Nothobranchius furzeri: one gene and its partners. The protein of the gene in region 1 purifies or fractionates together with the protein of each later gene. This does not show direct contact. Links are inferred from orthologs where the notes say so. Each region holds a gene or a part of one and is shown in the gene's direction. Other genes may lie near its edges.

What was found.
Region 2: the proteins of dkc1 (region 1) and H/ACA ribonucleoprotein complex non-core subunit NAF1 purify together in Homo sapiens (co-immunoprecipitation; 7 studies listed by BioGRID and IntAct, counting the BioPlex papers as one, with this or other methods). This does not show direct contact. The link is inferred for Nothobranchius furzeri from reciprocal best matches to the Homo sapiens genes DKC1 and NAF1.
Region 3: the proteins of dkc1 (region 1) and ruvbl1 purify together in Homo sapiens (affinity purification with mass spectrometry; 4 studies listed by BioGRID and IntAct, counting the BioPlex papers as one, with this or other methods). This does not show direct contact. The link is inferred for Nothobranchius furzeri from reciprocal best matches to the Homo sapiens genes DKC1 and RUVBL1.

Annotation. Positions count from the first base shown.
Region 1 is NC_091758.1:16,263,616-16,267,813, reverse strand, and holds the start of dkc1 (H/ACA ribonucleoprotein complex subunit DKC1), read left to right. Parts: upstream 1-1,379; 5' UTR 1,380-1,458; coding exon 1,459-1,474; intron 1,475-2,391; coding exon 2,392-2,441; intron 2,442-2,520; coding exon 2,521-2,607; intron 2,608-4,168; exon of another isoform or gene 4,169-4,198. Other genes in the region: cinp (cyclin-dependent kinase 2-interacting protein), read right to left, coding at 722-749.
Region 2 is NC_091747.1:73,496,076-73,499,296, forward strand, and holds the end of H/ACA ribonucleoprotein complex non-core subunit NAF1, read left to right. Parts: intron 1-338; coding exon 339-423; intron 424-2,161; coding exon 2,162-2,547; 3' UTR 2,548-2,692; downstream 2,693-3,221. UniProt on the Homo sapiens protein: RNA-binding protein required for the maturation of box H/ACA snoRNPs complex and ribosome biogenesis.
Region 3 is NC_091743.1:48,433,183-48,436,522, forward strand, and holds part of ruvbl1 (ruvB-like 1), read left to right. Parts: intron 1-756; coding exon 757-843; intron 844-1,522; coding exon 1,523-1,655; intron 1,656-2,361; coding exon 2,362-2,513; intron 2,514-2,793; coding exon 2,794-2,883; intron 2,884-3,340. UniProt on the Homo sapiens protein: Possesses single-stranded DNA-stimulated ATPase and ATP-dependent DNA helicase (3' to 5') activity; hexamerization is thought to be critical for ATP hydrolysis and adjacent subunits in the ring-like structure contribute to the ATPase activity.

The DNA of each region.
Region 1 (4,198 bases):
CCACTAAGAACGTGGATCCGAGATGAGATCCACTCTCAGGTTGATCAGAAGGAAGAATCAGACAAACAATGCATCCAGGACTGTTGAAGCCTTTCTGATCCCACCATGAGGGGTTGAAGACCCAGGAGGATTCCTGGTGACAGAAAAACCCAAAAGAACAGACTAGAGATCACCAAAAACCACACTGACGAGCTTCAGGGAGAGCATCATTTTGATTGATGAGATGGAAATCGGCTCTAGAAACACTGTAGAAGATGGAGGAAGATCAGTTCTGTTCTGGACTCACTGCACCTGGACCAAGGATTCCTGAAAAGGTTCAGGGTCCAATCCCAGGACCACCAAGACCCTCTGGAGCCAAATCTACTGTCCAGAGTCTATCATCAGAAAACACAGCTAGGAACACCGAGAATGGATCAGAACCAAGCACTGGACTGTTCTGAACTGATCTAGATGCTGTTGAACATCTGTGATAAGAGCAGAAACATCTGGAGAAAGAACACCTGGAGCAGTGTGGCCACGAGTAATGGGACAGAATACCTGCGGACAGGAACGATCTAAATAAGTTGTCCTAGTGAATGTTGATGAGGCAGCTGGGTTCTGCAGGGTTTCATTTACAACCCTGCAGTAAAACATCCACACGTCATCAGAATGTTTTAACCCGGAAGCTGCAGGTTATTCAGACCTGAACAAAAACTACTTCACTAATCAAGAAGATCCTCACCTTCCATCTGATCCTGAAGTTCTCGCATAAAATCCAGCTGAATTATGCTGAGTCTTCTTCTTCTTCGACGTTTGTGGGTGGTAGCAGTGCAGCATTACTGCCCCCACCTGGCCTGGAGTGGACACACGTTTATCAAACAATAAAAAAGGAAGTATTTTTATTGGATCTGCAGCTGTGGACACTCAAATTCCACTACGCGGAGATAGTGGGATTTTGGGGTTAACTGTAAACACTGATCCGTCCCGTCTGCCGTCCGGGTGGACACTGAGGTATTTATGTTCCTCCGCCACCTCCACCTTCTCTCCCAGGATGGAACAAGCATTTAGCATGTTCCCGTTTCTTCTAAAATCCGCAGTCATCTCATGTTTTTTCCGTTTTTTAACACACTATTGCACTAGAGGCCCACCAGTGATCTGTGTCTCACTACTTAATGACAGACTTATCTGACTCCAAATATCACTGGCCTTTTTTAGTGTTTATTTCCCCCCAGGATGCTAGTTAATTAAAGAAGAGCATTAGAACCACCGAAAGAAAAGTCAGAATTATTTTTCACATTTATTTTTTTCCATTTTATATTTAATTATGTAAAAATTGTATTTAAATAGCAAATTCATTTATTTATTTACCTCATTTGGTTTCATTTCTGCTCTGTGACCAGTTGGTGGCGGTAGTGCACCAAGTACTTTCGTGCCAGCCGCCATAAAACATCAAGCAGAAGAAGAATCTTTCATTAGAAGATGGCGGACGAAGCTGGTGAGTGTCGAGCACGTTTTGTAAGCGACAGTCTGTGTTTAATTTATTGCTAAGTTTGAACATAATTCTGCTGAGTCAGGGATTTTATTAACAACACGTCCACGTGCACGTACAAGCGTGTTTTACGCAGAAGGAATCGCAGTAAAAAAAATTCCTAAGTTGGTCTATGAGGAGGTTTGGCAGCGTCTGAGCCAGTTAAAACAAACAAATCCCTCCACGTGTCCAACATGCTTTAGTAGTTGGGTTTAATTCAATAACAGAACTAAGGGTTTGCTCTGTGGACTCGTGTTTTCTTCATAAGCTCCAGCAGCGTTTAGTGTAGTTAACTTTGAGAGAGCGGGTTCTCGGTCAGTGGCCTGTTAGCTCCGCTAGCAGCCACGTGCGCTCCACCACGTGCTGCAGCTGCAGGCCACGTGGGCTCTATATCATTCATTTACAGTTTTCCAAATTTACCAAACTGCAACAGGGATTTAAATTTCTGTTCCTTCAGATAAAATACTTTCTTTCGGTCGTACTTTTTCCACTGAAAGGCCCTTTTGGGCTCAGAGTTGCACTGGAGCAGGGCCCATCTCCAGGGCCACCATGCTGCACGTGCTGCAGGTTTGCTGCTCCTGCACACATGAAGGTAATCGCCTGGATAAACCTGTTGAACACTCTTTTAAAAAGCAGGTGTAGTATGGTCCCTGGAGTTAGTGACCTTTAACCTGAGGTTACCTGGGACCAGTAACCTGTTATAATGCAATGTTCAGTTCCCGGTGGGCATGAAGACTCGTCTAGAATATTGGTGAACACTTGAGCAGTCTGGCTAGTGACAAAACACCACTTAGGGCCCGGTAGATTGTTGTTCTCTGAGAAAATCCTGGAATTCTGATTTTAGGAAGGATTTATGCTACTTTAGTTTGGTTTTTATTTTGCAGCATCCACAAAGAAGAAGAAGAAGTCGAAGAGAGTGGCTGAAGATGTTGGGGTTGGTGTGAATTTATTCAACTTAAGATCTATTTGGAGATTCTCTTCCTGTTGAACAAACTGATGTTTTTATTCAACAGGAGATCCAAGAGAGTCAAGAGTTTTTAATCCAGCCAGACACCAAAGTCCCCACTTTGGACTCCTCCCAGTGGCCCTTGTTATTAAAGGTCAGGAACCCCTCCTCCTGTTTGTGCCTGCTGACATGTTTGACCCTGGTCATGTGATATGATGAACTGGTTTATCCATTCTCTGAGTGCTGTGGGCCTGTTGTGGTCTTTGCTTCTGCTCCGTTCTGGATCAGAGCTTCTCCTGCGGCTGCTAGAGGGGTCTCGGCGTTCTGCCTGACCACGACCAGTAGCCGTCTGGGGAATGACCCCACTTGACCACAGCCAAGACGACCTCCTATTCTGATCACATTGACTCTGTGCTATAAAGCATTTGTTATCTGCTCTGTTTAGTGACATGTTTGTGGTTTCATCTGGTGTAATGAGTTGACTCGACTAGAACCCTGTTGGAATCGGCTCTAGCTGTCAGACAAGCGTTTCCCCTGGGAATTTTTCCGGTGGTGGTGCTGGGGGGAGAATGATTGACAAGTCTCACCTTTATGTTAATATTAAAAACCCTTCTACACCCCTGCTTAGTAGACTTAATGAAGTATTTTTAAGCCAGTATAAAAATGACTGAAACAAAAATTTACATATTTGGCATTATTGACCCATATCTTTGATTTAATTTGTGTTAAGAACATCAAGATGCATTACAGTGAACATTATAATAAAGTAAATTTTTCTAGTGCAGAGAGGAGACAACCCATAGAAGCACTGATTTGATCTCATTTCAGAGAAAAATAGAACAGGTTAGATGCACCTAATAAATAAAATTACTAACAAACTCAGGAATCTGTTTCTTTGCTTCATTGTTCTGGTGCTGAAAATATCACTAATGCGGATCAAAGGAGATACACAGATGAATGCACCTCTTATTTATTATTTGTAAATTAGTGGGTGTGGTTTACATCAATGCATTATTTTAAATCTGAAATTGGATTGATCAGAAGTTGATATGTGTATTGTTTATCTGAAAACTATTTACAGAGCAGCCTCAGAACTGAGATTAAATATTTTTGATCACAATAGTAAAGAAACCATTACAGAACAAGTTTTTCAGTAAAATCAGAACATTAATGTTTAAGTGCATGAATAAATGCATCTGAACTCATGCAGTAGGAACTAGGAAATATGAAATACTAGAATTTATTTTAATTTGATTAAACTGATTTTTTCCTCACATTGTTGGCATTTTTCCCACACACGGTTAAACAAAACTATGTTGACTGAGGTGTGTGTGTGTGAGTGAGAGAGTTAAAATAAATACATTAAAAAAAAAACCTGAGCGGAGGCAGTGACCGACGCATGCACAAGCCGTTTTCAGCTCTGTCTTGTCTAGAGCTGAAACAACTAATCGATTATAATCGATTATTAAAATAGTTAACAACCTTTTTAGTCATCGATTAGTTGTTTAATAATCATATTTTACCGCATAAAGTCTATTTTTTACCACAATCTGACATCGGTTACAAGCTGTTAAATTTGCCGCCAGTGTGTGGCAGTAATGAGCCACTGATCTACCAGTGGAGCCGTAGAAGAAGAAATGAGCCAATGAGTGCCCTCGGTTTTCATGACGTATCACGTTACTGACGCTCATCTTGCTGTGAGAGATGGCGGAACAAGAGGAAATACGGAAGAAAATAGAAGCGAC
Region 2 (3,221 bases), on another chromosome or scaffold:
AAAACAGAGGTCGTTTTTAGCCATTTTGTCAGACATGTTGGGTATTCTAAAGCACCTTGTACACATATTTCCATTACTTAAGAGTTTTCTTTTATTAAAGCTGTTCAGTCAGTCAGGGTCCCATCAATTACTTTCTATTAAAAACGGGATTATTCTAATTATTCTCTACTAACAAGATTAGACAGAATAAAGATGAACAAAGTGGAAATCTGTACAGACCACATTTTAGTTTGGTCAGTTTTATTTTCTTGTTTGTTTTTGTGCTTTTTAATCCAAAAACAGTCTATAAAACACACACACACTGCTGGGTGATAATCGGTCTGTTCTCTTCCCTCCAGGCTTTAGACTACAGTGACGATGAGAAAGAGCAGGAAGCAAAGAGGAAAATTAAAAATGCCAAAAGAAAGGAAAATGGCCACACAGGTAGGTCCAATGGTCACCTGGTCATGATGTCATCACTCAGGCATTACATTCGCATCAGAAAACCAAACCGTTTCCATGACTAGACTGACTTTTAAAAATGCACGTAAATGCGTTAGTCTTGCTGAAGACACGCTGGTTCTTAAAGTAGGGACTCGACTTCATCTGCATGTACACAGCTCAGTTGAGCTGATACTGGTTACTTCTGGATGTGACGAGACCGCAGGAGCGCTCTTCTGATAATATCGTCGCCACAAAATAACACGTGTAACACCGTCAAACCGGACAGTACGTACCAAATGAGCTGTGTTCATTCCGTCTGCCGTTCTGCATATCCTGTTTTAACTTCTGCTTCGTTCTGCCAGCGTTTGTTTACCATTTGTGTTGCTTAAAGCTAACCGGAAGTAATCCGACACAAAAGCATGTCGCCACCTACTGCACCGGAGTGGAACAAACTTCGTTTGAGAGTTTGGTTTTCTAACGTACGTGTAAACTAGGATAAAGACTCCCAGGTTATGAGTTTTAGACTCTGACCTAGATCCACTTAGATGTGCATGTAAACGCACTGACTTACAAAACAAACAAGCAGACAGGACCAGGTCTGCTGTTACCTGAAGGTTCTGGAATGTTTGCAGCTTCAAGAGCAAGTCACCCCCTACCAGATTCTTACTCAACTCCCACTTCCTGTTTGAAAAATGCAACAAATGATGTTGCCTAGCAGACCGAGAGGGCGGAGCCGCTAACAAACACACACACACAGGCTCACAACGACATTGTGACATCATATGGTACCAGCTAACATTCTAAGGTACCCCTTAGCCAATAGCGATAGCAGATTTAAATTCAAATGCAGTGCAGAGTTTTTACCCGACAACGGCACAGCACTGACAAGTTTTAGGCAGAGAATTTTAATTTTAACTAAAATGCATTAAAGTGCATTTAGACATGCATTTATATAGTTTATCAGAAAAAAATAAGTTGATTTGGGGTGACTTGCTCTTCCAGGATTAAAGCTAATTTCCATTCTGTTACTTCCATGTCGTTAGCCCTTTTTAGAAGATGCGCATGCCGGCAAATCAGCATTGTGTGTCTTATGAATGCGGCGTTAAGGAGTCTTTCTGCATTAGTGCCGCTGTGCTTGGTAGTAACATTACTGCAACGCCAGACTTGTGAGTGCATATTACGCCTTGGTGCAACAGAAGGAGGTGTCATGATCACGTGTGGAGTTACTGCCGAGCTTTGGCTGGCAACTATGTTGAAAATGAAAGTAAAAACTGGCCGTACGTTTTGCTTTTGTTAAGAAAACCAACTGAAACCATAAACTGGAGTGATGCAGAGCTCCAGGAGCCTCTCTCCATTAGAGATGGAGCTCAGATCACCAGAGACTACCCAGGGACTGTGGGGGACAGACACCTTTGGGAGCAGCTTGTCAAAAAACCCAAAGAGCACGGCTTTGATGGCAATAAAAAACAAGTAATGTCCAAGATAACCAGAAGTCCACTGCAGCGCAGAGACTGCCCCCATGTCCCCTTTATACCGCCATCGCCACAGACTGACCACTTATAAATGACCTACGGCTCCCTGATGCCACCGCGGCATATTGGCGGCGCAGTTTTCTAAAAGAGGCTTTCGTTAATGTGTGAGTCAGCTTGAGGCCTGGCAGAGTCCACACCGGCACTCCGGCCAGCTTGACTCTGGGTCAGACCAGCAGAAACTAAACCAGCTGTTTTTCTCCTTTCAGATAAATCTGCTCAGATTACCCAGAGGTCTTTGCAGCAGCAGAGACATCATAGAACACGGGGTTTCCCACCGCGACACGCAGGATCCCGAGTCAAGCAGCAGGACCCCAGAAACACCCCCCCTCAACATCCCCACTCTTTCCTTCCTTCTGCTCATCCCGATGTACTTCCTGTGTACCTCCCCCCTTCCTGCCAGTACCCTCCTCCTCTTTTCTCCCCACCTAGCTTCCCCTTCTACCCCCCTACTCCTCCTCCTCCTCCTTCCTTCTTCAATCCAGCATTCTCCTCCTCTGTTTGGCCTCCAAACTCTGTCCCCTTCTGCGACTTCTCCCTCCCTCCTCCTCCTCCCCCTCCCCCTCCCCCTCCTCCCCCATCACCTCCTCACTGACACACCACTGTCCCTTGGAGGAGAAACAAATGGCCTCTACCCTGAGCTGCAGCTCCTCCTCAGTCAGAGATGTTGACTAAGTCTGAGCCCGGGTCATTTGGACTAAGAACTAAAACCATCTGCTTGTTTTGCGTTTGTTGGCTCAGTTTCATCTCAGTGACCCAACAACAACAACAATGATGGGAGTTTGATGGACCTTTACCTGCGAGAGGTTCTTTCCGTCTGAGGTGATAAGTGTTGAACCACATTCCTGCTTCCTGTGTGTGTGTGCATGGATAACCTGGATTATTAATGTAAGCTGGTGTTTTTCATGTGCTGTTTAGACCTTTTGTTCTGACTGGTGTACATTTATTCACTGCGTTTCAGAACCATGGTCTTCCTCCTGGACATGTTTGTGTCATAATCTGCACATGATGAATAAACAACAAGTGAACAAGTTTGCTGTGTGTCTTTGCTGAGATCCACATGTGATGCTACTGCTGCCTGAGTGTAAACAAAAACGTGTTTTCGTTTAACTGGAGACTAAATTGTGCTGCTGTGTGATGGGTGGCAGGGACATTGGCATTTTGATCCTCAGCTTCAGAAGCTGACCCTTGGTATGTGGAACGTCACCTTGAGAGGTTCTGGCTAAATATAGTCTGACTCACCTTGAGGCATGGCTCTGGCTCCAGAAC
Region 3 (3,340 bases), on another chromosome or scaffold:
TTTCAGCTGGTAAAAAATGTATGCATTTTTTGTTTTTGTTGTATTCATTTGTTTTGGGTTGTTTCACTGTACACTACATAATTGTAGATGATTATAAAATTGAACAACAGATCGGTCATTTCACCAAATGCACTCAAGTCAACTTTCTACTGGTGTGATTTGTTCCAAAACATGGTTTGAGGGGAAAAAGACTTTAATTAAAAATGGTTTTATATTTATATTCTGCACACTGATGTCTGAATAATTCCTCGTTTCAAAGACAAATTCTCAATCGTTTACAGAGAAAACACATGCAGCTTTAGGACGCTCCATCATTCCTCTTGATGTTCAGCAATATAAACAAACAACTGTCATTTTAGAAATACATGTAATAAATTACACAACTTTTTTTTTGTCCCTGGTAAAAAGTTTGTGAATATCACCAAAAGATATTTAGCTTGTTTTAACATTTACCACCTTATTCTTGTGGGTTTTCAGCAAAGCTGACTTTAATGATCACCAGATTACTTAAATTTTGTTTGTTTCCCATTTCATATCTGCTTTTTAAATGTGATTGTATTTGTTTTATACACACCCTTACACAGCTCTGGATAAACATCGTAGTGACACTCTCTCACTCTCTCTCTCTCTCTCTCTCTCTCTCTCTCTCTCTCTCTCTCTCTCTCTCTCTCTCTCTCTCTCTCTCTCTCTCTCTCTCTCTCTCTCTCTCTCTCTCTCTCTCTCTCTCTCTCTCTCTCTCTCTCTCTCTCTCTCCAGGCTTGTGGCATCATTGTTGAGATGATTCGCTCCAAAAAGATGGCAGGAAGGGCGGTTTTACTGGCAGGCCCACCCGGAACAGGAAAGGTTAGTGTGCAGCGTTTTAAAGTAGAGGTTGACCGATATTGGCTTTTCTATTGCCAATAGGTAAATGTCACAGTTAGCCGATGGCTGATTTGTGCTGCCGATATTTTGGACCGACTTTCATAGCCGATATCTAGACGTTTTCCACCTCATGTTTTTGCTAAATGTTACAAAAACAACAGCTGATGCACAAAACACTGAGTTTAACCAGCTGTTAAATCTTAATTTTGTGCACTGCTCGGTGTTCAAATCAGACATCTTACTAAAATAATCTAACAAATTAGTAAACTGACCAAGTCTTAAATATTAAAAACTGGTAGATTAGAAATCCTAGTTGAAAATATTTTTTGAGCATTTATTAGGAGATGTAATTCAGCAATCATGTAAACAAACAGTTAAATAAAATTGTGCAGCAGCACCAGGCTGCCCGGGGATGTGCCTGACTTTAACTCGGCTTTACTAAGGAGGTGTAACAGCCATCAGTGTGAATGTGTGTGTGAAGTGAATGGATGATTGATGCAAGTGCGGGTCATTTATCATTTATAAAAAAAATTGTAAATATCGTCCTGATAAATCGGTCTAACCGTAGTTTAAACAGTTTAGAGTTACCGTCTGAAACTGCACCAAGCATGGCTTTTGTTGTTATTGTTATTATGGTTATTGTGACTTCTGACCCCTGCAGACTGCCCTCGCTCTTGCTGTGGCTCAGGAGTTGGGAAACAAAGTGCCTTTCTGCCCCATGGTGGGCAGTGAGGTCTACTCCACTGAGATTAAAAAGACAGAAGTACTGATGGAGAATTTCAGGAGAGCAATCGGTGAGTGGAATCGGATTTATGAACTTAGTTATGCAGTTCATGGAGGAAATGATCAGACTTTTCGGACTTTTTCAGTATTGGGTTGAACTTCTGTTTTGATTTGAAGCAAAGGCAACTAGCTAAACATTAGCTGTGCTTGAGGTCAGAAACAAAGTTTCCTTGCAGCTTTAAGGAACTGAGTGAAAATGAAAAGAGAATGACTTGTTCTGTTGTGTTGCAAGGTGGCAGGTAGTGTCCAATTCATAGGGAGGGATTTATGTGGGAGACATGATGAAGGGAAGGGATTTGTCTGACTGCTGATAGTACCTGTCGAGTGGAGAGGAAATGGAGCTTAACTAGAAGCAGAGGTGGTCATCAGCACCCTTGCTCCACCCGTACAACAGCATCTGCAGCTTTTCATCACCTTGTCACTAACGGCTCTGCTGCACGGTCTGCTTTAAAAACCGCCCTCTGACCCTCAGCACAGAGGAGCAGGCACCTGTGCTGCTTACACGCCACTCTGTGTGGGAGTGTGATCATGTTACACTGAGTGATGCACTGGCATCACACACACACACACACGCACGCACGTTCTTTCCTGTAATAAAATCCATTATTTGGTCGTCTGAAAGATGTGAAGGCTTAGCCGATGCAGGAGCATAAAGACCTGATTGAATTCTCATTTTGAAGCGTGTCTGGGTCCGACTGTACCGCCGCTCTCCTTTAGGGCTGCGCATCAAAGAAACAAAGGAGGTGTATGAAGGCGAGGTGACGGAGCTGACTCCCTGTGAGACGGAGAATCCCATGGGCGGCTACGGGAAAACCATCAGTCACGTCATCATCGGGTTGAAGACGGCCAAAGGCACAAAGCAGCTGAAGGTCAGACTGGGGGTTCAAATCTGCATCTGTAGTTCTTTCATCACCGAGAGTCAAATAACCTGTTGCTGCTGACAGTTTTGTGTACAAACAGTGAGATGATGATTAGTAATGTAGATAAAGATGACTTAGAAGTGGTTTCCAGGTTTCTGGGTTAAAGATGAAAAATCCGTTTTCATTAGGCTGCATACTTGAGTTCTGTTATTACATTCTTATAGAAGTCCGATTTAATCAGTTTTGAACAAAATCATTAAATGTTGATGATGCTTTTGTGTTTGTTCAGCTGGATCCCAGCATTTATGAGAGTCTTCAGAAAGAGCGGGTGGAGGTGGGAGACGTCATCTACATCGAAGCTAACAGTGGAGCTGTTAAGGTAAATGGCATAACCATGGAAAACCGGTGCACTAAAACACACACACACACACACACACATACACACGTGCTAGTGACAAACTGGGTCACATCAACACATTAATGATTTATTTTTCTTTTTGATCATCTGCATTTTATTATAATTATTAGGTAAAAATTGTAAATGGCCTTTATTTAAATAGCACCTTCTATAGTTCTACAACCGCCCCGAGGTGCACAACAACACAATCAGCCATTCATCCATTCACACACACTTTCACACGCTGGTGATGAGCTATAATGTAGCCACAGCTGCCCTGAGGCACGTAAATCCTGTGTCTAGAAGGTTTTCTGCTTCAGAGTATAAATCTAGATCTTTATTACAGAAACATTTATGTCGGTAAAGTTTACTCATCTGATTCTAAGCAAATGTTTCACCAAAACACTGTAATCTCACATTGAGGACTTCCTCCTTAAAG